Linked DNA regions of Diceros bicornis minor. The protein of the gene in region 2 binds, or shares a complex with, the protein of the main gene of each other region. Links are inferred from orthologs where the notes say so. Each region holds a gene or a part of one and is shown on either strand. Other genes may lie near its edges.

The links.
Region 1: the proteins of SYMPK (region 2) and SSU72 are in contact, whole or in part, in a crystal structure (PDB 4H3K), measured with the Homo sapiens proteins. The link is inferred for Diceros bicornis minor from reciprocal best matches to the Homo sapiens genes SYMPK and SSU72. Residues at the interface, in NP_004810.2 of Homo sapiens: Val123, Lys127, Leu131, Gln135, Asp175, Asn176, Asp177, Gly178, Thr181, His182, Lys185, Glu188, Pro204, Arg205, Arg206, Gln207, Ser250, Ile251, Thr254, Thr255, Asn262, Ala290, Ser292, Gln293, Ser295, Ser296, Lys299, Asn300, Leu303, His304; in NP_054907.1 of Homo sapiens: Glu113, Tyr116, Asp117, Val120, Asn124, Glu127, Gln128, Glu129, Thr130, Cys131, Gln132, Pro133, His135, Asp167, Glu169, Asn170, Asp173, Gln177, Glu180, Thr186, Phe187, Leu188, His189, Thr190, Val191, Phe193.

Annotation. Positions count from the first base shown.
Region 1 is NC_080752.1:22,444,210-22,459,106, forward strand, and holds the start of SSU72 (RNA polymerase II subunit A C-terminal domain phosphatase SSU72), read right to left. Parts: upstream 7,692-14,897; 5' UTR 7,505-7,691; coding exon 7,425-7,504; intron 1-7,424. UniProt on the Homo sapiens protein: Protein phosphatase that catalyzes the dephosphorylation of the C-terminal domain of RNA polymerase II. Plays a role in RNA processing and termination. Plays a role in pre-mRNA polyadenylation via its interaction with SYMPK.
Region 2 is NC_080773.1:20,032,779-20,047,487, forward strand, and holds the start of SYMPK (symplekin), read right to left. Parts: upstream 7,408-14,709; 5' UTR 7,333-7,407; intron 3,862-7,332; 5' UTR 3,843-3,861; coding exon 3,738-3,842; intron 3,584-3,737; coding exon 3,518-3,583; intron 2,179-3,517; coding exon 2,125-2,178; intron 2,032-2,124; coding exon 1,958-2,031; intron 1-1,957. Other genes in the region: FOXA3 (hepatocyte nuclear factor 3-gamma), read left to right, coding at 8,396-8,464, 13,354-14,334. UniProt on the Homo sapiens protein: Scaffold protein that functions as a component of a multimolecular complex involved in histone mRNA 3'-end processing. Specific component of the tight junction (TJ) plaque, but might not be an exclusively junctional component. May have a house-keeping rule.

The DNA.
Region 1 (14,897 bases), on a different chromosome or scaffold from region 2:
GGGACAGGGTGACAAAATAAGTAAAACATCTGGTCCACAGGACCATGAAAAGCTCGGCGACAGAGAAAGCCATGGGCCAGAAGCGGAGGCAACAGGGAGACTGGGAGGTGGGAGAGAGGGCACCGCCGAGGGTTCTCAGCCCTGGGGGCACCTCAGGGCACATTGCAACCCATGACGCAGAGACCTGGACAGGACCCCAGGGGGTTTCAGGTGGGAGTAGGGCAGGCATGCCACCTAAAAGCTGCCACAGGGTTCCCGGGCGGCCACAGAAGGAGAGCCCTGGTGCAGAGTCTGACACACCCCCCCCCCACCCTGCCGGAGTCTGAATTGTTTGCAGGGCACCACCTGGCAAGGCTCATCTCCTCCACTCATCTCGTGTCATATCGGGGTTTGAGGTTTGCATTAGGGGTCCAAATGGAACACTCTCCATATCCCTAAAAGTTAACCATCCCAAAGAACCTGTCTCCGCCTTCCACCTGACTGACCCTTAACAAGGCTTCCAGGAGGACGACTGCTGGGTCTCCAGGACAGGGTGAAGCCTCCCCTGTCAGAAACGGAAGGGGTGTGTGTGTGGGGGAGCCTGCAGCCCTCTCCTCAGCGCTTTTCCCAACTTTCTGAAACATTCGTCAAGCGTATTTAAAAATAAAATGAAACGCAGTTGTTTCTTCCCCCAACAAAATGTTCCCAAGTGGCAAAAAGGCTAATTAGCAACAGAAGCACTGTTTCTTCTAAGCTGATGCAATTGACGTAACAGCCCATCTTGTGCTGTGACAACAGTGCAGTGTGACAATTTGTTTCTTATATAAAAGAACTGAACACTATAAAAATATTTCTGACAACCAAAAGGCTTTGTTTTGTCTCAAGGGCCAACTGTTTTGTGTGTTCAACTAATTTCCAGAAGTATTTATCAAGTGTCTTTACAAGTATCAAAAATCTATCATAAAGAAACTATCATAGAAAATGTTAGGGCCGGCCCCGTGGCTTAGCGGTTAAGTGCGCGCGCTCCGCTACTGGCGGCCCGGGTTCGGATCCCGGGCGCGCACCGACGCACCGCTTCTGTGGCCATGCTGAGGCCGGGTTCCACGTACAGCAACTAGAAGGATGTGCAGCTATAACATACAACTATCTACTGGGGCTTTGGGGGAAAAAAAAATAAATAAAATTATAAAAAAAAAAAAAACAGAAAATGTTAAATTTTGGGAAATAGAATTGTTTCTATTGTTATCCCAATGGCTAAAACTAAAATAAAAATGTTAAAATGAACACCAAAAAGAATCATAAGAAAATAGCCAAATTAACAGCATGAGTTACGGTATTTTTTCTCTTTTCTTTAGTGTGGTTATCAATCTAATTTAAGGCATTATTTTGGCTGAGATTGAAACACTAGACCCAATGCCAACCTTCTGAAAGCATGACCTGTCTAAAACTGGGACACGATGCACTTACAATCCTAAGTCACCTTTACTGTAAACTCACGCACTGCTGACCAGCCCAACTACAGCTATATGACCACGTTTACAGAACACAAATCACCTGCTCACAAGCCATCACACTTAAATGTTTGCCTGTAATTTCACTGTGGTACAGCCAAAAAACTGAGAAGATAAACTCTTTTGAAATCGTAACATTCCAATAAAATTTATGTCATCACGAGCAAAATGTGGGCCCTAAACACATCTTGATAAACATTTTCTAGGATTTATTTCATTCTTATCCTCCCACAAGGACAAGAACAAAACGGAGAGACTTCTAAGCATGAAGCATCATTGGGTGTTGAGCTTGACAAATGGCCATTACATTTAGCTCGTCAGCACCCCTGCTCAGACGTCCCTCCTCCAGGTCTGCTTTTCCTCAACCCGGCTTCTCATAGGCCACCTTGCTCTGCTGGCCACTGCCAGCCTCCCCAGCGTCTCCCCCTCTACACAATACCAGCACAGACCAGGTCCTCTGTATCTGGTACTTCAGATGGCCCAGCAACACAACCACCATCAATGTGGTTCTTCCAGCTCCAACACTAAGCAGTCCTAAGCAAGAACGTGCTACTAGCCACGTGTGAACCTGTGAACTGTCTTCCCCACGCTGGGCTCCACTTGTTCTCATCTATAAAAGGTTGGGGAAGATGATCCCTAACGCAGTGAAGACAGCTGTAGCTGCAGAAGCCGGTACCATGCTTGGTCTGCCCAGATCTGTCTCAATGTTCACATTCAAACAGAACTCTACCTTCTTCCAACCATACTCCTGATCTTAGTTCTGCTCCTGAAGACAAAAACAGAACACAATGCACAGTCCCTTAAATCCTATGAAGGCAAATGTGTCTCCCTGTAAGTGCCTCTTCCACATCCTCTGCCTTTCTCTTAAGGATGTGATTCAAATCCTTTCACCTTCCCAAATGGTTTCCAGTTCACTTTCTTCAAATGTACCCAGAACCACAACATCAAAGATGCAAGGGCCGGCCCAGGGTTGTAGCAGCTATGTTCACCCATTCCGCTTTGGCAGCCTGGGGTTCGCTGGTTCGGATCCTCGGCAAGGATCTACTCACCGTTCATCAAGACATGCTAAGGCAGCATCCCACATACAACAATTAGAAAGACCTACAACTAAGATATACAACTATGTACTGGGGCTTTGAGGAGAAAAAAGAAAAAAAAGGAAGATTGGCAACAGATGTTAGCCAAGGTGGCCCTCTTCCTCAAACAAACAAACAAACAAAAAAGATGCAGCCAAAGGCGCTGCAGGGCACAGCCGACTACCCCTCCCTGGCAAAAGACAAGAAGCTTCTTGGACGGTCTTCAAGACCAGAGAGGGGTTCAGCACTGTGACTGGGAGTGTGCTGTGTCAGGCTGCCTGGGTTCAAATCCTGCATGTTTGTGTGACGGCACAATCTCAGGGAGCAGAGACCCGGTCCTGTCTGGTGGAGGTTGAGCACCTCTATCCCAGTGTGGCTTGGGGCCCACGTATCTGGTTAAGACATTAAGACTTGAGAGCCCCACCCAACCAGAGGATCACAGGACCTCAGCTGACTGTACTCCCCACACCTCGGACCCTTCTTCAGCTCCTCTTTTCTCCCATCTTGAGTCTCAGTTCTATTACTCATCATGACCAGAGCCCCTTGTATTCAAATCCTGGCTGTCATTCAGGAAGCCGGGGCTTCTTGCTCTAGGTCTTGTCTCCTCACCTGTACAAGTGTGGGCATCCTAAGAGCTGTGAGGATGAAATCAGATGGCGTTGGGAAAGCCCCTGGCACAGAAGTGCTCAACAGATGGACTCTAACTTTGTTTCTTCCACATTTGCAGCCTCTCTGCTCATCTCGCCAAAATCACACCACCCAGGAAGTCATGATTGAAAACATACTAAAAATTCAGTACAGGAATTTACAGAAGACTTTCCTTAAAATTTGTTTTGAATTGCTACAATTAAAAATATATCTTCCGGGCCGGCCCCGTGGCTTGGTGGTTAAGTGCACGCGCTCCAATGCTGGTGGCCCGGGTTCGGATCCCGGGCACGCACCGAGGCACCACTTCTCCGTCCATCCTGAGGCCGAGTCCCACATACAGCAACTAGAAGGATGTGCAGCTATGACATACAACTATCTACTGGGGCTTTGGGGGGAAAAAATAAATAAATAAAATCTAAAAAAAAAAAAAAAAAATATCTTCCTTGGGCCAGCCCCGTGGCTTAGCGGTTAAGTGCGCGCTCCGCTACTGCTGGCCTGGGGTTCGGATCCCGGGCGCGCACTGATGCACTGCTTCTCTGGCCATGCTGAGGCTGCGTCCCACATACAGCAACTAGAGGGATGTGCAACTATGACATACAACTATCTACTGGGGTTTTGGGGGGAAAAAAAAAAGGAGGAGGATTGGCAATAGATATTAGCTCAGAGCTGGTCTTCCTCAGCAAAAAGGGGGAGGATTGGCATGGATGCTAGCTCAGGGCTGATCTTCCTCACACACACAAAAAAAATGTAGGAGATGGTTTGGAACAAAAAAATAAATTAACTGGCTCCAAAGGGAAATCTTAATCCATGGAGAACAAAGAACAGCAGGCCTGTGGAAACATACAGTCTATTGACACCCCCTAAAAATCCTAAAGGACTCCGCAGACTGGTATTTGAAAATAACGTAGTCTCAAAAGATCAAAAATGATCACTCCAGGGAACATTATGACTAGCTCCAGAAAATGCCAACATTACTTGTATTTGACACGCCAGAAAAATACAGTCCAAGCTGATTTTCAATAGGACCAAAGGGGGGGGGCCCTCACTGATACACTACCTACCATGCAGGTTCAATTAACTGCATTCCCTTTGATATTGCATTTCAGAACCTTTCCCATGCAGTTTTGTGTAGTTGTAACCAAACTGCATACACAATTTTCCTGCTTTTTTAACTTATCATACCTTTTTCTACGCTTTTCACAAACATCATCTTTAAGGCTGAAGTCTCTAAATCTGACTTTTATAAGCTCTCCTAGCTGTAACAGAAAACCATCATACAAATTTCCTAAAAATGTTTTTAAATCCTGTAAATAATCCCAATAGAGATAAAGCCATGAATAATTTTCAAAAGTGAAAATGACATGAAAAGTTGTTCAGTCTCAACAGAAATTTTAAAACTAAAGGAAGGGTCAGACTCTTTTTGTGCTCTGGCAGAATGAAAAGATGAAAATAATGCCCAGATTGTGAGGAAATGGGAATTCTATAAATAGGTACTTTTCTGGAAGGCAGTCTGGCAAAATGTATGAAAATGTCAAATACGCCTACCTTTTGACTCAGTGATTCTATCTCTAGGAATTTATGCCCAAGAAATAACCAGAAAAGCGTGCAAAGATTTATATGGCACAAGAATGTTAACATCATAAGACTGAAAAATACAAGGTGCAAATGTCTAACAATGGGGTGTTGGTTACAAAATTAACCACCACGGGATTCCTCTGGATTCTTGTGCTGTGGTTTTCTAACCACTGCTATCACTCAATGTGAGTAGTGTATTCAAATTCAATATATCAAAATGAAAGTAGAAATGAATATTGAGGGGCCGGCCCTGTGGTGTAGCGGTTAAGTGCGTGCACTCCGATGCTGGCGGCCCGGGTTCAGATCCGGGGTACGCACCAACTTACCACTTGTCAGGCCGTGCTGTGGCGGCATCCCATATAAAGCAGGGGAAGATAGGCACAGATGTTAGCCCAGGGCCAGTCTTCCTCAGCAAAAAGAGGAGGATTGGCATGGATGTTAGCTCAGGGCTGATCTTCCTCACAAAAAAAAAAAAAAAAAAAGAAAGAAAGAAATGAATATTGAAGTCAGACCTATGTTCACAACATTACGTGAGGAGACATGACACAACGGTATTCTGGTCTCCCTTCAGTGTGTGTATGAGTACACAGAACATCCAGAAGGACCTACCCCAAAATGGTACTTGGAGTGACCTTTATCTTCTTCATCTTCTATGCATTTTCTACAATAAGAATTCTTTGCTACAAGCAAATACTACTATTTTAACAAAGAAAAACATCCCCCAAATATAGGCATTTTAGAAATTAAAGATTCATGTCAAAAAAAATTCACATTCATGATATCAATAACATGTTACCCTAAACTTACCTTTTGCCGTCATTCTCTTTTTATGAGTAAATGTGCAAGACAGTCAAGTGGGCAGAAGCACAAGTAACATCTCCTACTTGGTGATTACCAGGAGGGGCTCTTCTCCCTCCCCCTCCCCCCACCAGGAGACCCAATGCTGGGCCAGCTCAGGCCACTGGGAACTAAACAAGGACTTGCCATCTTGTAAGGACTGTCTGATTTCATTAACAAAGTTGCTACAGGTAATTAAAAAGCAGCTCCCTTGGGACATATATATGGTGATGGACAAACAATAATGTACAACCCAAAATCTCACAATGTTAAAAACTATTAAAACATCAATTAAAAAAAAAAAAAAAGCAGCTCCCTTGGTAAGGTTTCATCCTAACGCAGATATGGCAGGAGAGCTTAAACAAAGGATGCCAGCCCCACCAAGCTGGAGGAGATGGTCTCCAGTTCTCTTGTTATTCTAACCAAAGATATGAAATTTTATTTTCCAGGAGTGTAAACTTTGCATTCTTTTGCTTAAATTTACCAAACTTTAATGACTCTGAAGAGATAAATGCGGTTTGGGGATTAGACCTAGCACAGTGTAATTCTAGCACGTTTCTAATTTTAAAACATTACAATATAAAAAATTTTAGGTTAAAAACAACCTTCACGTTAATTTGTTACGGTCGAAGCACAGGACACTCCACCAAAACGTGACATTAAGCGAATACTGTGGACAGCGTGGTAGATGTTTGGAAGAATTAAAACTCATAATTAGCAGATTGTGGACACCCGACACTACCAGCTTCGTTAAGAAACGAGAGGCGTGTGGAAATACTAATTTCCCCAAGTTAGCGAGGCGTCAAAGCTGAACTAGGGCAGCAAGACAGCGAGGCATTGTTGTCTTTTAATGTCCACGTATGGAAACTTCGGGAGAAGAGGCACTTTCAACTTTTACTCTCTCAGTTAACATGTATACCTAATTTACACTGTAATGCAAGCGGTCAATTTCACATTTGGTAAAGTGATTTTGAACGAACAAACTATATCAAACAGGAATAAAATTTTATTCAACACATACAACGCCAGGGTCACAAAAGAGGAGTTAGTACTGAAATATAAACTAGGAGCGCGAAACCGCACTCACGTGGATTCCAGAAATTACCGAACGCTTTCAAGTGGGTAGGGAGGATTTTTTTGTATGAGGCTTTAAAATGTAGATAGGAGCAAATACAAAGTCATGAAGTTAACAAAATAGGCCATTTCCGTTTATCTAAGCCTCGTTCTATCCTGAGCTTACGTTGTTCGAGTTTTCCAGCAGATCTGGTAACCGACACGCCCTGGGGACGCAGGGGGCGGACACTATCATCTTGTAGACCCTCACCTTGGCCTTGGCACTTCCCGCCTCACCGAGAAGTATTTCACAGAAGGCCCAACGCAAAGCATGAGTGCAAAGGGGACCAACCAGCATCAGCATTTCGGGCTTACTGGGAGCTTTGAAGTTTCCGCGACGCGGGAAATTTCAGCTCAGAACCTCAATTTTCCCGCGACGCTAAACACACGTGAGGACACCGCGCGGCCGACCGAGCCTTGTCGACTCCTCGCTGCGCTCGGCCCCGAGGCCAACGAGACCGGATGCGGCGCGGCCCCTCTGGCGTCCTTCAGGGGCCGCCGCCCGGCCGCCGGCTTCAGGCCTGAGGGGCCAGGAGCCGGGGCCGCCGCCGCCCAGCAGGGGCCGGGGTCCGGGAGCCAGGAGCCCGGGCCGCCGCCGCTCAGCACGGGCCAGGAGCGGGCGGAAGGACGGCCGGTCGGCCGGCGTCCGACGGGGCGCGCTGGGCCAGGGCGGAGGCCCCACTACCTGAGGATGTTGTGCGCCTCCATGCTCCGGTTCTGGTTGCTTGAGCACACCACCGCCACCCGCAGCGGCGACGACGGCATGGCGGCGGCCGCACCGTCCGCGACTCTCCCGCTCCGGGACTCCCACCCAGCCGCGGCGCTTCCGCGCGAGCAAGATGGCGGCCGCGGCACCCGGAAGTCATGACGCGGAAGCGGCGCCGCCGGCCACGTAGCGCGTCGGGACGCGCGGCGCGGGCGTGTGCACGGCGTGCCGGCGGCCTCCCCGCCCCGGCCCAGAGCGCCGGGCCGCGAACGGCGGGACTCGGTCCCAGGGTGCCGGCCGGCGGGGACGATGCTGCTCTGGCGTGCGCGGTCGAGGCCTGCGCTCCGCACAGGGGCGGCCTGCCAGCCCAGCGCCCCGCGCCGGCGTCCTGACGTCACAAGGCCCGGCCCCAGTCGCCGGGAGTGACGCGTAAGGCGCCGCGCCGGAGGCTGTGACGTCCTGAACGTTCCGCGTCGTCGCCGGGCCCGCGGGGACGGTGGTGGGAGATGGCTGTTCGCGACCCGGCGTCTCCCGGGACGGCTCTGCGCGCCCCCTCCGTCCCCGTGGGGCCCGTGGTTCTCTCTCCTGCCGCCCAGGCGCTGCCTCCCTGGGTCTGCGCTGCGCTCAGTCTCAGCCTGTCCCTGGGACCCCCCGTGTCGCTCCTTGCGTGCCCCTGCCTCTAGTCCGAACCCCTGCGCCGCCCCTAGAACGACCGCCACGGCCTCTCACCACCCAGTCCCCGGGCTCACACAGACGTCAGCACACCGCTCTCCGCTGCAAACCGCGAAGTTCAACATTTAAATGAGGTTTTGAAAGTGTGTGGAGAGAGGATTAGAAAGGCAGCGGAGGTGATGCGAGGAGGGGACCCGTGGAGACCTCGTGCGGTGGGAGAGCAAACTGACCAGGTCCTGGGGTTTGTTAGGAGGGCTGCGGGCTTGAGATTTGGGGACATGCTACGACAGTGAAATTAGTCAACACGGTTTTGTTGTCTAGCCGCCTGGATGCAGGCTTGGAGTGGGAGCGCAACAAAGGGTAGGGGGCAAGGGAATTGCGATTTCCTGCCATGGATTCAGAAGTGGGTGACGTGAGGGATAAGGACATGCGAGGATGGCGTTAGTGGAAAGGCACGATGCGCGCCGAGTTGGAGTTCCAGTGGAGTGGAAGAAATGTCACTAGAGTGAGGCGGTGGTAGACTAGGATGCTTGAAACAGGATGTGGAAGTGGCTACTCTTTGAATACCTGTAGGCGAGGTGTGACCATAGGCACGGGTGGAAGTCAGTCTCCCTTTTGGAGAGGAGGTAAGAAACTCAGAAGCCAGGGTGGTGAGGGACCACCCTCACTGAGACTGGTGTCTTCTTGTTGCTCGTGATGTCTTCGTGGAGAAAAAGGCTGAGAACCAGGCGCTCGGAATCTTGAAGGACCTCTGGGCATGATGAGGGTGGGGGAGGACAGTGCATGGCTGCAACAAGGAAGCATTTACTTGGAAAGACTTGGGGGTTTGAGGGATGAATGGAGGAGGACCGAGGGCAGCTTTCCCACCTGGCTTCTGTATATTTGAATGTATGCAGAATGTGAATCCAAGAGGACACACACCACAATGTGGAAGTGAGACAGCAGGTATTTATGGATAGTGGGATTAAAGGTGCTTTGAATGCCCTTTATACTTCTATGAACATTTTTACTTTTTTTTTTTTGGTTTTTTTTACTTTGTATTTTCTTTTACATTGACAACAAATAATAAAACTATTTACATTTTGAAAACAAAACCCCTCCATGGCTTCTCAAGTGTGCTCAATTAACCCGAATTCAAAGGCATTGTGGCCTGACAGTACCTCACCTCTCCCTGCATCCTGTTTAGAACTTAATGGACCAGCAACTGAAAACTGTCCTCTGCCTTTTTACCTCTGCATGTGCTGCCCCACACCTCAAGTCTTAGTCCAGTCATTGAGATTCAGATAGATGCCACCAACTTCAAGAGCTTCCTCCTTCCTCCCTCTTCTCCCTCTGGCCTTTTTGTGCTCCTGACGCCACATTCAACTTGCTCTTGTGGCTCTGCACATTTATTTTAGCACTCTGTGCTCCTCTGCCTCACCACATTCACAGACTCTGAGCTCTAAAGGGCTAAGGCCTCCATTTCCAGCCAAGATGTCTTCACTGCCTTACATCCAATGTATTTAGAACTGATGTCCCTGTGGCGGCACTCACTGATGGATGTATATATATCTTGATAAATATCTAGACACATATATACACACACACACGTACACCAGATATGCAATTTGTAAATATTTTCTCCCTGTCTTTGGCTTGTCTTATTCTCTGATCAGTGTCTTTCAAAGGACAAGTTTGATAAAGTTCTTAAGTTTGATAAAGTACAATTTATCAGTTTGTTCTTTTCTGGATTGTGCTAAAATATCTGATATGAAAAATACCCTGGATGGGATTAATGATAGATTAGACATTGCAGAAGAGAAGGTTAATGACATTGAAGACATACAAGTAGAAATTATAAATGAGACAGAAAAGTGAAACAAAAAAAGGATGAAAAAAATGAACAGAGCATCACTGAGCTGTGGGGCAACTTCAAGCAGCCGATACATGTGTAATTGAAGTCCCCAGAGAGTGAGTTTGCTCGCTGGCTGGTTGGTGGAGGCACTGCTCCTGGCCCAGCTTGAACTCTGGGGAGTTTCCCCTCTAATCCTTTTGGTTGGCTCTTTTCTTGGCCTCATATTTTCCTCACACACATACACTAGACAGTCCTAAGCTATGTCCTCTTTCTGCCCTGTGAGCTCTAGCCATCTTGGCCTCCCAGATCCATTCTCTCAACTCAGGGAGACCACTGGGCCCTGCCTGAATCCCCCTTCTTGCTCCACATCCTGAAAACTCTCCAGGCAGTAAGCTGGAGCAGTCATAAGACTCAACTCGTTTGTTTCCTTTCTCTCAGGGGTCATGGCTGTTCGTTGCATTATGGCCAGTATACTTAGAACTGTTGTTGCACACATCTTGGATAGCTTTTTAGTTGTCTCAGGTGGAAGAGTAATTCTGGTCCCGTGTTAGTTCAGAGTCTCACTAAGTCAACTTGAAAAAGAGTAAAATGTGGAAACTCACCCTACAGATATTAAGATTTATCGAGATTATAATAATAAAGATCATGTAGTACCGTTGTAGGAAAAGACAAACAATAGGCAATACAATAGCCCATAAGCAGACCCACGTATATATGGGAATGTGGTATACGATATGGGGTACCACGTACTGGAAAAGGAGGGATTGTTTCTGTAGGCTGGGTTGGGAAAATTGGCTCAGTGTATGGATATAAAAAGTTGGATCCTCACCTCACACCATATATAAAGGTAAACTCTAGATAGATTAAAGGCATAAATATGAAAGGTAAAATCAGAAAGCCAATCGAAAAAAAGTAGGGAAATATATTTATATTCTTTGGGTGTGCAAGGATTGCTTAAGACCAAATGCATGCTTAGGACCAAATGCTTAAGACCTAGATGCATACAACATCTAGGAAAAAATGATAGGTCTGATATCATCAAAAGTAAGGATTTCGTTTCAACAAAGGACACTACTGACTGTTAACAGCATAGGAGAAAATTTTTGCAACATCCAAAATGATCAAAGATAAGTGTCTAGAACTGTGCTGTTCAATACAGTACCCGCTAAACATATATGGCTATTTAAACTGTAGTTTAATTAAAATTAAAAATGCAGTTTCTCAGTTACACTAGCAACATTTCAAGTCCTCAGTATCCACATATGACTAGTCAGTAGCCACTGACTAGTAGACTAGTGTCTACTGTGGATTGAATTGTTTGTGTGATATTGTGATTTATAAGAAATTTGGTCATTCAGATGACCAAAATATATTTCTCATACATATTTAGTCTTCATCCACAGTTCCTGGCTCACAGCTCCCAAAACCCTTGGAATTTCCTCAGTGTCGAGAGTGGTAAAGGTGTCTTATGTTAATGAGGTGACTTTTGTACCCCACCCAAGGGTAGGGGCTGGTTGCCAGGGGAACCAGCCGTGATCAGAGGGTTGGAACTTGCAGTCCCACCCCCTAGTTTCTGGGGAAGACGGGTGGGGCTTGATGTTGAATCAACAGTTGGTGGTCAATTACAGAAGCTCCTTTGTTCAGGACTTCGCTCTGTGTATCTCTTCATCTGGCTGTTGATTCCTATCCTTTAATGTCCTTCGTAATAAATCGGTAATCTAGTACAAGTTTTGTCAGCCATTTTCTTGAGTTTTGTGAGCTGTTCTAGCAAAGAAGGGGGTCATGCAAACCTTTGATTTATACAGCCAGTTGGTCAGAAGCACAGGCAACAACCTGGGCTTGCGACTCGCGTCTGAAGTGGAGGGCAGTCTTGTGGGACTGAGCCCTCTTGCTGTGGAATCTTACTCTATCTCTGGGTACCTTCTAGTGTCAGAATTGAGTTGAATTCTCAGATACCCTGCTGATGTCCCAGAACTGCTTGTTGGTGTGGGGAAGGGTATGCGCGTACGCGCGCACACACACACAGAAATTGGGTCTAGGAACTCTTTTGCAGTTCACTGAAAGAATACGTTGAAGTCCTAACCCTCAGTACCTGTGAATGTGACCTTATTTGGAAATAGAGTCTTTGCACATGTAATCAAATTAAGATGAGGTCATAATGAATGAAAGCGATAATCCAGTGAGTGGTGTCTTTTTGTGTGTGTGTGTGTGTGTGTGAGAGGAAGATCAGCCCTGAGCTAACATCCCTGCTAATCCTCCTCTTTTTGCTGAGGAAGAGCTAACATCTGTTGCCAATCCTCCTCCTTTTTTCTCCCCAAAGCCCCAGTAGATAGTTGTATGTCATAGCTGCACATCCTTCTAGTTGCTGTATGTGGGACACGGCCTCAGCATGGCCGGAGAAGTGGTGTATTGGTGCGCACCTGGGATCCGCACCCGGGCCACCAGTAGTGGAGCGCGCGCACTTAACTGCTAAGCCGCAGGGCCGGCCCGTGAGTAGTGTCTTTATAAGAGAAAGGAGAAGGAAATTCGCACACAGAGACAAGGAGGAGACATTCAGAGAGGAGAAAGCCACATGACAGGCGTCTTTGGAGACTGGAGCATCCACAAGCCAAAGAACCCCAAAGATTGCTGGCAACACCAGAAGCTGGAGAGAGGCATGAAACCAATTTTCCCTCAGAGTCTTCATGAGGAACCAATCCTGATGACACCTTGATTTCAGACGTCAAGTCTCCAGAACTGAGAGAGAGTACGTTTCTGTTGCTTTAAGCCCCTCAGTTTGTGGTAATATGTTACAGCAGCCCTAGGAAACTAATAAAGCACAGATGAACACTTCCATAATTTCAGAAAGTCCTGTGGAACAGTGCTGATCTAGAATATTTGTGGAACTCTTGAAAATCAAGAGGAAAAAGCAATGGAAAAATGTATAGGGGCCAGCCCAGTGGCGTAGTGGTTAAGTTCACGTGCTCTCACTTAAGCGGCCTGGGGTTCACAGGTTCAGATCCCAGGCGCAGACCTACATACCACCCATCAAGCCATGCTGTGGCAGCATCCCGCATACAAAAGAGATAGCACAGATATTAGCTCAGGGCCAATCTTCCTCACCAAAAAAGAAAAAAAAAAGTACAAAGAATATGAATAAGCAGTGCGTACAGGGGAAATTGAAATGACTAATAAGAATAGTGATGCGCAATCTCTCCAGTAATCAGAAGAAAGCAAATTCAGTTAAAATTGGGTTACGCAGCCATCAGATTGGCAGAAGCTAGAAAATTGGATGATACAGTGTTGGTGAGAAATCAGGGAAATAAAAACCCACCTGCACTGCTGGCAGGAGTGTTAACTGCTTCAGCCGTTAGGAACAAATGGACAATGCTGGCGAAATTCAGTCTCATGTCCCTGAGACCCCTGTCCCTCACCAAGAGGTTCTTGCACAGGCCCCTGAGGAGGGTGGGAGGGTTTTCACGGAAACACTGCAGCTCCCCGAGTTCTTCCCAGGGGCCAGGGCAAGTGACGATGGCGGCTGCATGCACTAGAAACCGCATGTGACGGACAGAAATGATGAAATAGGGGCCGGCCCTGTGGTGTAGTGCTTAAGTTCCCGCACTCTGCTTCGGTGGCCCGAGGTTCAAGGGTTCGGATCCAGGGTGCAGACCTATGCACCACTCATCAACCATGCTGTGGCGGCGTCCCACATACAAAATAGAGGAAGATTGGTACAGATGTAGCTCAGGGACAATCTTCCTCACAAAAAGAAAAACATTTTTGCATACTGCACCATTGATAAACCTCAAGGACATGGTGTTGAGGAAAAATAAAAACAGAAAGTCAACAGCACAACCGACGTAAATTAGAAAGTGGCCATACACAGGGCTGGCCCCGTGGCGTAGCGGTTAAGTGCCTGCTGGCGGCCCAGGTTCAGATCCCGGGCGTGCACCGACGCACCGCTTGTCAGGCCATGCTGTGGTGGCGTCCCACATAAAGTGGAGGAAGATAGGCACAGATGTTAGCCCAGGGCCAGTCTTCCTCAGCAAAAAAAGGTTGGCGTGGCTGTTAGCTCAGGGCTGATCTTCCTCACCAAAAAAATAAAAAAAAAAAAAATGGCCATAATGAGGACACCTCTGAGTCCGAGCCGATGAGGAAGACAGGATGAGGAAGACGGGTGGGCGTGGGAAGAACCTGTTGGACCAGAATCCAAATTGAGCAGACGGATAGAGCTGCCAGGCGCAAAGGAAGGAAACAGTCCAGATAACAGCGGGGGAGGGGAAGAACAGGCTGCTTATTGAACACAGATGACGGCAGAGCTGGGGCAGGCATGAGGGAGCTGTCTCGCCCCCTACTCCCCACCCTTGAGTAGGGAGGCCCAGCTCGGTTATGTGTGACCAGTTGAAGCCACTGAATCACACACAGACATACCAAGGGAAAAACAGAATAAGAAGCATATAACATCCCTGCAGATAAAGAAGGCATGCCAGAAAAAAGAGAAAAACTGAGCATTTCATCACAAGCTAAATGGAGTTAGAAGATGATAAAAGTTGTGAAAGAACACCTTGCAACAGACACGGGGAAAAAAGCTTTACTAAGATCATTGGAAAAAATGAAGATTTGAAGACTGCTGATACAACTTAGAAATAAAAAGATAAGGGCAGGGCTGGCCCCGTGGCTTGGCGGTTGGGTACGCGCACTCTGCTGCTGGCGGCCCGGGGTTTGGATCCCGGGTGAGCAGCGATGCACCGCTTCTCCGGCCGCGCTGGGGCCGCGTCCCACATGCAGCGACTGGAGGGATGTGCAACTGTGACAAACGACAATCTGCTGGGGCTTTGGGGGGGAAAAATAAATAAATAAAATATTAAAAAAAAAAAAAGGATAAGGGCCGGCCCCGTGGCTTAGTGGTTAAGTGCGCACGCGCCGCTACTGGCGGCCCGGGTTCGGATCCCGGGCGCGCACCAACG
Region 2 (14,709 bases):
CTTAAGAAACTCACTTCACCTCCCTGAGTCACAGTTTTGTTTTCAGTTAAGTGGGCTGAACAACTAACCCATAGTGTTATTTTGAGGATCGAATAACAAAGTAGGTCAAGCATTTGGCACAGTGCCTGACAAACAGAAAATATTCACTAACTAGGGGCTATTCCATTTCTTCCCAGTCACAAAGCACCCAGTAAACGTTTAATGAACAAATGACTCAGCTCGAGCTAGTCACTTGATCATTCTGAGCCTCAGTTTCCCTTTCTGTACACAAACGAAGGGAAATAAAGTCTCCATCCCCAAGGCTGCTGTGAAGATGATAGGCGATAACAGAGGAGAGGACTTAACAGTGTGTGGCAGAATAAACGTTCCACGTGGTTACTATTATGATTCACTCCTTGCTCAACAAATACATATTCAGCCCCTCCTACGTGCCAACACTGTTCTAGGCACTGAGATATAGGGGTCCCAAGACAGAAAAGCCCGGCCCCCATGGAGCTGACACTTTTGTGGGGAAGAGAAGCATCAAGGTACTTCCAGTTAGTGAGAACACTATCAAGAAGGCGCAGGGGACGGCCCGGTGGCACAGCAGTTAAGCGCACGTGCTCCGCTGTGGCGGCCTGGGGTTCACAGGTTCAGATCCCGGGCTCGCACTGATGCACTGCTTGTCAGGCCATGCTGTGGCGGTGTCCCATATAAAGCAGAGGAAGATGAGCACAGATGTTAGCTCAGGGTCAATCTTCCTCGGCAAAAAGAGGAGGACTGGCATCGGATGTTAGCTCAGGGATGATCTTCCTCACCAAAAAAAAAAAAGGGGGGGGCTGGCCCGGTGGCGCAAGCAGTTAAGTGCACGCGCTCTGCTGCGGCGGCCCGGGGTTCACCAGTTCGGATCCTGGGTGCGCACCAACACACTGCTTGGCAAGCCATGCTGTGGTGGTGTCCCATATAAAGTGGAGGAAGATGGGCACGGATGTTAGCCCAGGGCCAGTCTTCCTCAGCAAAAAAAAGAGGAGGATTGGCAGATGTTAGGACAGGGCCGATCTCCTCACAAAAAAAAAAAAAAAAAAAAAGAAAAGAAAAAGAAAAAAGAAGGAAGGTGCAGATGGGGTGCCAGAGGTGTGCGGCTGTACTGGCATGGCCAGGAAGGGCTCGCTGAGGAAGACCAGAGGGAAGTGAGGGAGTGAGCCAGGTGGCTTCCTGAGGGTGAGTATCCCTTGCAGGCACAGGAAGCAGAGAGGCTGTGAAGAACAGTTTTTTGAGGGAGAACAGTTTTTTGAGGAACAACAGGGAGGCCAGATGACATGAGTGAAGATCAGACAGGCTGCCAAGAGAAGAGGCAAGGGTGAGGAGTCTGGATTTCAATCTAAGTAAGACAGTGGGCCAGTGGAGGTCTGAGAGTGGGGAGTGCCCACACCTGATTTACATTTTAGCAGGCTCACTCTCTGGCTGCCGTGTCCGAGAGAGGAAGGAGAAAATGGATACGGCATTACCTTTTGTGGGGATGAAAATGATTTGGAACTATATTGTGAATGTGCTAAATGCCACTGAATTGTTCACTGAAAAATAGTTAATTTTATGTCATGTGAATTTCACTTCAATTAAACAAAAAAGAGTAGAAGTAGGGGAGCCATGCAGAAGGCCACTGAAGTCATCTAGGCAGGAGGTAACGATGGTTTGGACCAGCAAAATAGCAAGGGAAGTGGCTAAAAAATGGTCAGGTGCCGTTCACATTCTGAAGGTAGAGCCGACAGTCCTTACTGATGATGCAGATGTGAAGTGTGGAAGTAGAGGAATCATGGATGAGCCCAAGCTTTTGACCTTATTAAGTATTTGCTGGGCAGTCAGCGTGCATGGCAGGGAGAAGGGGCCTGGGAAGTGGAGGGCAGGGCCAGGCCAGGAGCTGAAGACGCCACCGACTCCACCAGGGGTGTGCCCAGGGGCTCCTTGCGCTGCCCCATACCATGCCTCCTCGATGAAGCCGATGACAAACTTGCGCACTTCAATCGACTTGTCTGCTTGGAAAGCGATGATTTCCTGCCAACATCAGGAGAAAGGTGGGTCAGGGCTGTACCAGGATCCATCCCCTTACCGTACACCCACACTCCTACTCTCCCGTCGGTCACTCACATCCAGGAAGTTGTCCAGTAGTGTGGGATCTTTGTTGATGATCAGCTCCTGAACCTGGAAGGAGATTGGGGATGGGGAGGAGGAATACACTCATAAAACCAGGGTCTAACCAGTGCCGACAGGAGTGTGTAGGGGAAAATAGCATGGAGGTCAGCAGCAGATAAACTCAGTTCAAATCTTGGCTCTGCCACTCCCTGCCCCATGGCCTGGGCAAGCAGCTCCCCTGAGCCTCAGTTTGCTGTTCTATAAAATGGGGATCTTAAAGACGAACTCATAGGGCCGCTGAGAGGCTTCAATAAGAAAATTCTACAAGGCGCAGGTCCTGGTGGATAATGGGTCCCTGATACAGAAGTGGGCTAAAGGAAAGAGGGAAGGGCTGCAGGCCTCCCACCTGCCTGAGGAGGGTCTCCTTTCACCTGCCCATCAATTCTCCCCACTCTCCTCCTGCTTCTATGCCCCATTCACACTGCCACAATTCAGAAAGCATTTTATGACAGTAAGAAGCTGCTTCCTGAGCCCCTCCAGGCTCTCTGGAATAAGCCCTTCCCACAGACATTCTCCGATAAGCCCAGTGCCAGCACAGGCCTGGCTCCTATGACCCACAGTGCTGGTGTTGAATGGCCCTCACAGCCACCCCACGAGGGAGGCCCTATCAGTACCCCGCTCTACTGCTGAGGTGGAGTCGGCTAACCCAAGGCCACGTGCTGAGCAAGTAGCAGAACCGAGGTTCTCACCCAGGCAACCTGACCCTGCAACCTCTGAACTCCACCTGCCTCCTGTTCTGAACCACACCCAGGGCCCCCAATTCCCCTTGTCTTCTTTTGTCTTTGCACAGGCTAGTGTGCCCTCTGCTCAAGATGCTCTCCCTCTCTTACTTGGCCTGCTTCTCTCCTCATCCTCCAGGTCTCAGCTCAGATGTCCCCTCTTCCAGAAAGCCCTCCCTGACTCCCCACCCCCTAGGCTGGGTCAGGAGCCCTCTATGGGCTCCTCCATGCCAGCCCTGCCTACTCTGGGCCCTCACTGTCCAGTGACCTGTCTTCCCCATCAGACAGGACCCTGGCAGAGAGGAAATACAAGGATGAAGAGCATAGGATTTCCACCTGGAACCCAGCATTCAAGTCCTGGTTCAGCCAGCCCCTAGCTGAGTGACCCTGGACTAAGTTTTTAAGCTCTGAGACTCGGCTTCTTTCTGTATAAAATGGGAATGCAATTACCCTGCCTCACAGAGATTCTGTGAAAATTAAATGAGAGCATGCCTGTGCTGCACTGCACTACGCTGGCATATCCTAAGTGCTTAAATGTGGACACTAGTGTTGTTACCATGTCTTCTTTCTCAGATTTCCATCCCCCCTCCCCTTGCCCTGCTGAGCCCAGCATCACCCTGTCTCCTCACCTGTTTGAGCACTGTGATCTTTGAATCATTGGTGATCAGCGCTGCCTGGTTCAGGAGATCCACCACCTGGAAGGAGGAAGAGGCAGATGATGGTGCAAGCCTTGCCAGCCCAGCCCCTTCATACTTCCTGTGCTCTGACACCGGGGGTGGGGGTGGGGGGGGCATTGCCCAAAGACAGGGGCTGTGCCTCCCCACTCCAAGCCCTTCTCTTCACGCTCACTCTCTCTGAGGTGGTCATGCCATCGATGCCAGGCCCCTCCTCTTGTGTGAAAAACTGTGATGCCACACTCCGGCGAGTGACGCTGTCCCCACTGCTGCCCGCCATGGCTGCCGTTGGGTAGTCCCTGGAGAAGAGGAGAGATCAAGCTTTGGGCCCCTGTGATGGGCTGGACCTTCACCCCACCATTGCAAAGGGCTCAACCCTCCTTTCCAGCCTGTCCTGTCCCTGCTGGTCTTCTGAAGCACACCCTCGCATGGTGTGTCTCAGACTGTATGTGTACATGAGGGTTGTAAATCTGGGGGAGACTAATGTCTCCCGGGTCAAAGGCAGTACCTCGTGGAGCACCAAGCCGCACTTCCAGAACTTTACACATAACGGGCTGACCACACACATCTGCTGAATGACTGAACAAATGAACACACAGCAGCCAACTCCCTGGTCTCAGAGCTTCCTGTCTCTCCATCTGGGCTGCACTCTGGACTGACACCAGAGCAAGCTTTTATAAAGCAAAGCTCTGAGCAACACCAGTCAAAGTCCTGCACACAGTAACTACTCAATATGTCAGAAAAGGCCTAGTTAAGTAAGTTATGTTTCAGCCATTTTCTGGAATATTATGGAGTTGTTTTTTTTTTTTTTTAAAGATTTTATTTATTTATTTTTTCCCCCCAAAGCCGCAGTAGATAGTTGTATGTCACAGCTGCATATCCTTCCAGTTGCTGTATGTGGGACGCAGCCCCAGCATGGCCGGAGAAGCGGTGCGCGCCCGGGATCCGAACCCGGGCTGCCAGCAGCGGAGCGCGTGCACTTGGAGCGCGTGCACTTAACCGCTAAGCCACGGGGCCGGCCCACGGAGTTGTTTTTAAAAAGGAGGGGGGAGACTTCTGGGCATCTGTCCCAAAGCCACACTGGCAAAATTATGAAATAAGAAGGCTATCAACTACAGCACTATTCCTAATAGCAAAAGACTATCAGAACCCAAATGTTCTTAAATAGGGAGATTGGTTGGAAAACCATGATATATCCACATAATAAAATACCATGCGACTGTAAAAAGGAATGAGGGAGGGGGGAAAAAAGAATGAGGAAGATCTCTCCACACTGATAAACAGTGGGCTCCAGCAAATATTAAGTGAAAACAAGCAAAGTGGAAGACGTTTTCTGTATTCTCCTTTTTTGCAAAAGAAACGGAAATATGTATACATGTTAAAAAAAGAAAAGAACTGAAAGGATAAACCAAAAGGCAGAAATGGGAGGAAAGGGTAAAAAAAAGTTTGGTGGATCTCAATGTATTATCATCATAAAAAGATGTCCCGACAGCCTGCTGCACCACAGAAAAATATATGCAATTTTGTCAAGTTTGTGTAGTATACGCAGAATGACCTAAGGCAAGAAACAGTGGGGTCTCAGTTTCCTCTTCTGTAAAAGAGATAGGAACAGTCTTTCCATCCCAGGACTCTTCTGAGGGGTAGATGAGTTAGGAACGTGAGGTAAGTATAGCTACTATTTTTATGTACACAGAAAAGATCTGAAGGATACTGCACAAACTGTTAACAATAATTTGAGGAGGGTAAGAAGATGCATCTTTCAAAAGGACCATGATGTAATGTATACAAGAGTTACTCACCAGATGTCTGCTGAATGAATGACTATCCAACAGCCTCCTTCCTAGTCTCCCTGCTGCCACTCACCCCCACATCTTGCTTAGGGTCAAAACCAATGTCCCCACTATAAGCCTACAAGACCTTATATGATCTGGCCCCTTTTACCTCTGCCCTCATTTCCTTCCCAGCTTTCTCTGCTCCAGCCACTCTGGCCTCCTTCTTGTCCCCTGAACATGCCAAGCATGCCCACTCCTCAAAGCCTTTGTCCTTCTCTTCCTTCTGCCTGGAATACTCCTCGCCCCAGATACTGGCACAGCTCCCTCCTTCCGCATTTCCTTCAGGTCTCAACTCAAATATCCCAGCAGAGAGGTATTCCCTGATGACCCTACTTCAAATTTCAATTTCCTCTCCCTCCCCAACACCGACTCTTTGAGGCAGGTACTATTTTTTGTTGTTGTTGTTGAGGAAGATTCGCCCTGAGCTAACATCTGTGCCAATCTTCCTCTATTTTTCAGCATGTGGGCCACCAGCACAGCATAGCTGCTGACAGAGCAGTGTAGGTCCACGCCCGGAACTGAACCTGGGCTGCCAACACAGAGGGCACCAAACTTAACCACTAGGCCATTGGGGCTGGCTGGAGGCAGGTACTATTTTTAACCTCCATTTAACAGACAAAGAAATTTGAAGGCCAGGGAGGTAAAGTCACTTGACCGAAGGCTCATAGATTGTAAGATGCAGACCAGCACTATGGGCGCAGAATCTATCCTCTTCAACACTCTGCTGTACGCCTCTCTGAAAGGAAGTGCTTCTCCACCCCAGGTCTGTTCATGGAAGCCAAGGGGCACATCCACCCGACACCAGCATACTGCTGTCCCCCATCAGAACAGAATGAAGCTTTCACGACGAAACTTTCCACTCTTTTCATGATGATAATACTTTGAGATCCACCAAAATGTTTTACTCTCTGTCCTTCCTCTTCCACTTTTTGGCTTATCCTTTTATTCTTTTTAAACATACACATACTTTCCTTTTTTTTTTTGTAAAAAGGCAGCACAGAATAAACACTGTCTTCCATTTCATTTGTTTTCACTTAATATATGCTGGAGCCCACTCTCTATATCAGTGTATAGAGATTTTCCTCATTCCTTTTTCCCTCCTCTCTCATTTTATTTATATTTTACTTTATTATGTGCATGTCATCAGTTTCTTCCTGCCAGTGTCTCTATTAAAGAACATTCGAGGAGTCTGCAGTCGTTTGCTATCAGCAACATGATTGTTTCCTTTCTCTCCCGTGCACTCCTTATGGAGTACCACTCCCCCACTCCCACCTGGGAGTATGACGACTCCCTCTTTTACACAGAGCGGCCCCAGGAGGATCTTTCATTCATTCAACGAACACTAACTGGGTGTCTTCGGTGTGACCAGCACCCACCCAGTCCCTGCCCCCGTGGAGCTCACGGTCACAGACACGATCAAACAGCCGCACCAATACAGGTCCAATAACAAACCAGACCACACGTGACATGAAGGAGAGGAACAGGGACCTATGAGAGCGTTCAGCCTGCGGATTTCGGGACGGAGGGCGGGAAAGGAGGGCCTCGCAGAGGAAGTGACGTCGGTGCCAAGACCCGAGAGATGAATGGGAGTCAGCCAGGCGGAATGGGTAAAAGGGAGACAGCGTGTGCAAAAGGCTGAGGCGGGAAGGCGCAAGGCGAGTTTGAGGAACCGGAAGGCCAGTGCAGCTGTGCGAAGTGGGGAAGGAGCAAAGAGGCAGAGTCGAGGCCGGCGGGGCGGACGCGCCTCGGGGGCCACGTTGGAACTTTGCCTGAGGCCACTGGGCAGCCACGGGAGGGTCCTGAGCAGGGGAAGACAGTGAGGTCCCGAACGTCACTGCTCCCCTCTTCACAGCGCCCCCAACCCCCGACCGGCGCCCCTGCCGCTTCAGGGTCCCTCTTCCTTTCGTCGCCGGGCCCCCACGCCGCCCCCCCGCTCACCGCAGCTCCGGCCTCCGTACCCCTCGCGCCCCCTCAGCAGCGCCTCTTCACAGACGCCGCCGCCGCCATCTTCCGTTCGCCGCCGTGACACTGCGCACGCGCCGCACACACAAGGGTCGCCGGGAAATGCAGTCCACACCGCGGCCCGACCCCGCCCCTCCCTCACGCCTCTCGAGTGGCTTTCCGCCCTCCCCCAGACTACTCCCGGGCGGCTCTTCATTTCCGGCCTCCTGACGCCATCCCTTCTGGGAAATGTAGTCCCTTGGCGGAGGCGCGGGACGGAAAGGGAGCTAGAGGCTTCTGGGAAATGGAGTTCACAGAGGTTCTCAGTCCCTGGACGGCTGGCGTTAGAGGGAGTGGCGAGTTCGGGCGGCGAAGCTCCTAGGTCTTGGAGGTGGTCTGTTGCCCCACTGGGATCTGAGCAGAGGCCCCGATCCCATCCACCTTTGGTCCTGACCATTTACACAGTCTGGAGCATTTCTAGCTGTCGGAAGCTTCAGTCTTCCAGTGCGATCAATGAGAATATGGTTTCGAGGGTCTCTTACTGGTCCTTATACTGGCATATCCGGATCCCTGGAGTGCACTGCGCTCTGAGCCCCCTTTCCTCCGCGGCGGTCATGCCGCGCTCTGGCTATTCGCTTCTCCTGTCGAGATGATGAAACCCCCTGGGGTAGAAGGGCCCCAGAGTTCTGCCCTCGGGGCCCTTAGCATCAGTAGTGTCTCCCACCAGTAGCTCCCTCACTCTTCTGCCATCTCCGGCTCTCGCGTCCCTGGGCTGCGGCTCCCGACGCCTGAGGTCTATCTCTTCGCAATCCCGCAGGGGGCGCCCCAGTCCGAGCGCGCCGCCCTCGGGGAGGCGGGAGGGGAGCCCGGGGCGGGTGAGGGCGGGGGGGTGTCCCGGCTATAAAGCGTGGCCGCCTCCCGCGGAGCCCGGGACGGCTGGGACCCCGGGCGGTCAGACGGGCGTGCCCCGGTCAGAACTCGGGCCGTGCCGGCTGAGAGATCCGAAGCGTTCGGTCCCCCCGGGCCGGAGCGGGGGCGGGGGGGGGCGCAGGCCCGGGGGATGCTGGGCTCGGTGAAGATGGAGGCCCATGACCTGGCCGAATGGAGCTACTACCCGGAGGCGGGCGAGGTGTGTCCTCGGGGATGGCTGAGCGGGAAATGGGGGGCAGGAATCGGGGTGCGGGCTTATGTGGGGGCAAGGACCGCGGTGTGGGCTCAAATGGGGGCCCCAACTAGAGTTTAGGAGCGGAGGAACTAGAGACACGAAGACCAGGTGTAGGAGTCAGGGACGGGGGACAAGGCACGCGAGCGCGGTTTAGGTAGGCTAGTCCGCGTGAGGGCTTAAATGGGAGTCAGGAAAATTTAGGCAACGGTCATGTCAGAGCTTAAACGTCAGGGTTGGGTGTTAGGGACCTAAAATCCAAGGAATTAAAATGAACAAATCAAAGATAGGAATCAGAGCTCCAGGACAGGGGACAGAGCTGGAGGATTAGGAAATGGGATTCAAAATTGGGGGGAAAGACGGGAACTAAGAGATAGGAGAGAGAGGTCACCATTAAGGGAAGTCTGACTTGGGAGCTCAGGGTTAGAATATAGTGTTAAAGGTGGGGGTTCTGAGGTAGAAATCAGAATTAGGGTTCAGGGCTAAGGATCCGGGTAGCAATCTAAGATAAGTTCAGAAATTGAGGTTGGTGCTCGGGGATAAGAGATGGGGATGCTCAGAGAAGAAGCTTGCCTTGGGGAGTCTGAAATAACAGGTGGGTTGGTTTGGGGTTCACATAGGTAGGGGCCCAAGTGGGGTCAGAATTGCGAACCTGAGAGCAGGAGATGTGAGCAATAGCACTGGCCAGAGAGGGATCAATCTCCATTTCCCCCCATGGCTACTTAGGACCCTCACCCCTCCCAACTGAACTTCAGTGGTTTAATGGTTATTAGAGACCCTCAGCAGGAATTCTACTTGTTGGAGGCTGGAGGGTTTCAGATTTCGCACCTACCCCCCTCCTTCCAGCAATCTCCAGTAATTGCTAATGTCCTCAGCAGTCTCATCTCAGACAAGGCCACCCTGGAGTAAGGGGGCGGGAGTATATCTTAGTCCCCTCACTTCAGCAAACAGCAAGTCCTTCTCTAAGTCTAACTCCCATTCCTCTTACTGCAAGGACTCCTTCTCCTTAGCTCACTGTCTCCATAGTCAACATTGCGAAGTGGAGAGAGGGGCAGAGTCCTAGTCAGAGGCTTATGGGGGTCTGGACACTTGGGTTCCTAACCTGGAAGGAGACTGCGGGCTTCAGTGGGGGTGTGGGGCTGGAATGGTTGAGTTCTCCAAGGAGACTGAGATCTGGAAGTTACAGGGGCCCCAGTGTGCCTGAGTCCTGGGTCTGGGGTTTGAAGCTGTAGGGTGGGACTCCTGGATCCCCAGGCCTTCAGAACTTGGCAAGGTGCCCAGGAGGGGCCAGTCCTGGGGCTGCAGAGGTGTGAGGTGCACGTGGGGTGGGGCAGGCTGGCCAGGGAAGGGATTGGGACTGTTGAGAGGTGGAGGTGGGGCGGCTGGAGGTGTCAGTTGTTTGGTGGGGAAGGCAGAGACCAGCTTGGACGTGGAGGCTCTTAGGTAGTGGGGGATCCCACTGGGTTTACCCCCAGAGAGTTCAGACTCTGGGGACATGATTTAAGGGAACCAACCACAAATCTGTTTTGGAGGCACATCTTCAGAAGTAGATTGTGGGGGTCTAGGATGGAGAAGTCATTATTTGGGGCACAGTCTGAAGTTTAGGGGACAATTGGTGTGGAAATTGTGTCAGAAATGGAGGGACAGTCTAGAGATGATCAGCATTTGGGGGCATATTTTGGAAGAGTCAGCATATGGGGGGCTGGAAATGGAAATACCGTCTGAGGGTCTCCCCAGCTTTCTCATCAGCCGAGCCATCTCCTCCCCTTGGGTCAGACCAATGGGAAGAGAAACATCTGGGCTCACTCAGCAACAGAAAACTGAGAGGGCCCCTAAACTGCTTCTTGCCCACCACACCCTCCTGCTAGGATGATGTTGACCCCCGCAGGCTGGCTCTCTGTCTGGAAGGAAATTGGGAAGTTATCACCCTGGGGTGACCCCATTGGCCTCTGGATCTCACAGATCAGCTGGTTCAACTGCTCCCACATTTTAGAGATGGAAAGTCTGAAGCCTCTTAGAGTGTTGGGGGCTGCTTGAGGTCCTGGGCTGGGACTGGGACTAGAAACTAGGCTTCTGGCTTCACACTGCCTCCCTCTGCTCCCTGTCACACCCTCCTCCAGAGACAATAAGGAAATGAAAGGGGAGAAATTCCAGCCTCCTGGGGTGGGGGTGCAGGTCCCCTGAGGGCTTCCCCCATCTCACCCCACCCTGGCGGGGGAGATCCGGCTCACACCCGGACACTGGGGGTTCATCCCAGCCCCGGGGCGTGGGAAAGCCTAGGGTGGATTAGGGCAGCTGGAGTGCTTGAGGTCAGACCTCAAGGAGGACTTCCGGGTGGGTGGGGAGCCAGAAAAGGAGGGCCCTGGGGTCCCAGTCTGTCCTCCTCTGTGATACAAGAGAGTCTGACTGAGCTGGAGAAGTGGGGTCCATCACCATCTGAGTCCATCACCTTCTCCTCTCATCTCTGAAGGACCCTCTTTCCATATTCTGGGGAGGGGGCAGAACCAGCCAACCCCGGGGGAGACCGGTGCATGCGGGCAGGGGAGTAGCTGGGGCTCCAATTTCCATGTGAGACTTCTGGTGAGATGGTGGTGCTGAGGGAAGGAGACAGCTAGATACAAGGATGAGCTGAAGGAGAAAGAGAGATGGGAGGTGGGAGAGGAGTGGGGTAGAGAGAGACAGAGGGAAAGATAGTGCCAAGGGAGGGAGACAGAGATGGGAGAGACAGGTTGGGAGGGGAGAGGACAGGGGAGAGAGATGGGGTTGGGGAGAGTCACAAAGAGAGAAAGGCAGAAGGGGGAGAGATGAGGGAGAGACAGGGGGAGACAGCAGGGAGGAGAGGGAGATATAAAGGGAGGGAGCATGGAGAGGAGAAAGAGAGTGGGAAAGGCAAAGACAGTGGGGCAGCGGGGGGTTGGGGAAATGGACATGGGGAGTGGGAGAGGGAGGGGTGTAGACGTACTGAGGCAGGGAGAAAGATGGACAGAGACACACAGAGCCAACAGGGAGATTCAAAGAGACATGGGAGAAAAGAGCTACCTGGAGACACGTAAAGAAAGAGGGGAGAGTTTCTGATTGGAACTCAGACCTAGGTTGGTTGCCACCTGTCCCTGACTTCGTGAGTGACCCTGGTAATTCCCTTTTCTCTCTGGACCTTGGGACCTGCAGACACTTACGTGACAGGGGACAAGACAGGGACCCATGGACTCATAGCAAAGGTGGCTCCCGCCGGAGCTACAGCAGCAACCCCAGTGCTGGGAGACCCCGGGGCGGGGGGGGGGGGGGGGGGGCAGGGGGAGGGAGGGAGCAGGGCAGCCAGGCAGATGGAGCATTGAGGGAGAGAGGATGGAAGACGGTGGATGAAAGGGGTAGATACACACAGAAAGAGAGAAATCACCGTCCACCACGCATCATATTTTCCCTTGCTTATCTTGTTCATTTCCCACTGGACTATCATCTCCATGGGGACAGATGTTGCAGTCCGTCTTGGTTCCTGCTTGTATAGCATAATCCAGAACACGGATCTGGAGCCAGACTGCCTGGATTCAGAATCCCGGTTCTGCCCCTTCCTTGCTGTGTGACCCCAGACAACCTCTCTGGGCCTCAGCTTGCTCATCTGTAAAATGGGCGTCATAATCCCGTCTCCCCCCAGCGCCGTTGTAAGGCTGAAAGGAGACTTCCTGTGAAGTGCTTGGAGCAGTGCCTGGCACAGAGTAGGTGGCCAATAAATATTTGTTGAATGGGTGCAAGAGTATATAGAGGGTTATTTAGAGAGCCATAGCAATGTCTATCATATTTCATTGAGCTAAGACGCAAGTTTTTTCCCCATTTGAACTTTCTGAAAATGGAATGGGTTTTAGAGTCAATGGTGTCTAGCGATTATAATTGACAGTTTTTTTTCCATTCTCATTGATACTTAAAATAATACTGCAGCTTAAGTGATATCTTAGATTGGATGATATATACCAAATAGATGATATATATTAGGTTGAAACGTGATTTCTGATATTCAAACATTTTCGACCTATAAAAACTATAATTTTATAACCTAAAAGATTCATAGAAAGCTACACATATAGATTAGATTATTAGGTAAATCAGGTCGTCTCAATTTTTTTTTTTTTTTTTTTGGTCTCAGGATCTCTTTACACTCAAAAAATTATTGAGGACCCCACATGGTTTTCGTTGATGTGGGTTATGTCTATCAATAGTTACATTAGAAATTAAAGCTGAGAAATTTAAAAAATATGTATTAATTCATTTTAAAATAGCAACAATTTGTTAGTATAAATCATGTATTTTTATTAAAATAATTATATTTCAAAACATTTAGTGAGAGGAGTGGCACTGTTACATTTTTGCAAATCTCCTTAGTGTCTGGTTCAGTGGAAGACAGCTGGCTTCTTGTAGCTCCTGCTACATTCTGTCTGTTGCACTGTCACATGTCCCTGGGGCCTCTGGAAAACTCCACTGTACACTCAGAAAGAGAGTGAAAAAGGCCAATAATATCTTAGCATGATTATGAAAATAATTTTCGCCTCATGATACCCTAAAAGGGCCTTGGAGACTCCCCAGAGTGTCCTGGACCACACTTTGAGAACCGCTGAAAGTGTGAGCTCCAGTATATGGGAGCGTCGGGGGGTGGGGATGGGGTCAGGGAGGGGGTACATGAGGAGGGGGAAGAGAGAGACTTAAAGAGACAGCTATCTACAGAGAGAGGTAAGGATAGCACCGTCTCATAGACAAGGGAGGACAGACAGACAGACAGAAGGACATGCCGTGGGTCCAGCAACCCTTTGTTGACCAGCAGAATGGAGACTCACTGACCGCCCCCATCTCTCTTTCTCTCCCTGCAGGTCTTCTCTCCGGTGACCCCAGTGCCCACCATGGCCCCCCTCAACTCCTACATGACCTTGAACCCTCTGAGCTCTCCCTACCCTCCTGGGGGGCTCCCTGCCTCCCCACTGCCCTCAGGACCCCTAGCGCCCCCAGCCCCTGCCACACCCCTGGGGCCCACCTTCCCGGGCCTGGGTGCCAGCAGTGGTGGAGGAAGCAGCTCAGGGTACGGGGGCCCGGGACCGGGGCTGGCGCATGGGAAGGAGATGCCGAAAGGGTACCGGCGGCCCCTGGCACATGCCAAGCCGCCATATTCCTACATCTCGCTCATCACCATGGCCATCCAGCAGGCGCCGGGCAAGATGCTGACCCTGAGCGAGATCTACCAGTGGATCATGGACCTCTTCCCCTACTACCGGGAGAACCAGCAGCGCTGGCAGAATTCCATCCGCCACTCGCTGTCTTTCAACGACTGCTTCGTCAAGGTGGCGCGCTCCCCAGACAAGCCGGGCAAGGGCTCCTACTGGGCCTTGCACCCCAGCTCAGGTAACATGTTTGAGAATGGCTGCTACCTGCGCCGCCAGAAGCGATTCAAGCTGGAGGAGAAGGTGAAGAAAGGGGGTGGCGGGACCTCCACCTCCAGGAATGGTGCGGCGGGGTCTGCCGCCTCAACCACCACGCCTGCTGCCACGGTCACCTCTCCCCCCCAGCCTCCAGCCCCCGAGCCTGAGGCCCAGGGTGGGGAAGATGTGGGGGCTCTGGACTGTGGCTCGCCCCCTTCCTCCGCCCCCTATTTCACTGGCCTGGAGCTCCCAGGGGAGCTGAAGCTGGATGCGCCTTACAACTTCAACCACCCTTTCTCCATCAACAACCTGATGTCGGAACAGACACCGGCGCCTCCCAAACTGGACGTGGGGTTTGGGGGCTACGGGGCAGAGGGTGGGGAGCCTGGAGTCTACTACCAGGGCCTCTATTCCCGCTCTCTGCTTAATGCGTCCTAGCAGGGGGGTGGGAGCATGGTGGGTGGGGTATGGCTGCAGCTCACACCATCAGGCTCTTGGGGCCTGATCCTTCTGGTGACACTTTGCTTGTCCCATCAGTTAACATCTAGGTTGGTCTATTACCTACTGTGGTGACTGCCGTCTCTGTGGGCGTCGTGTCGATCCATTGGGTACTGTGATAACTGCCATTGACATCTTGGTGGGCCCACTGGGTACTGCGAAGACTGCCATGTTGATCGATGTTATTGGTTGATCCATTGGGTGCTCTGATGGCCACCATCTGGGATGACATCTTGGTTGGCCCTTTGGGCACTGTGATGGACATTCTCTTGGCTGACCCTTTGAGTGTGATGGTGATACCATTTCAATTACATC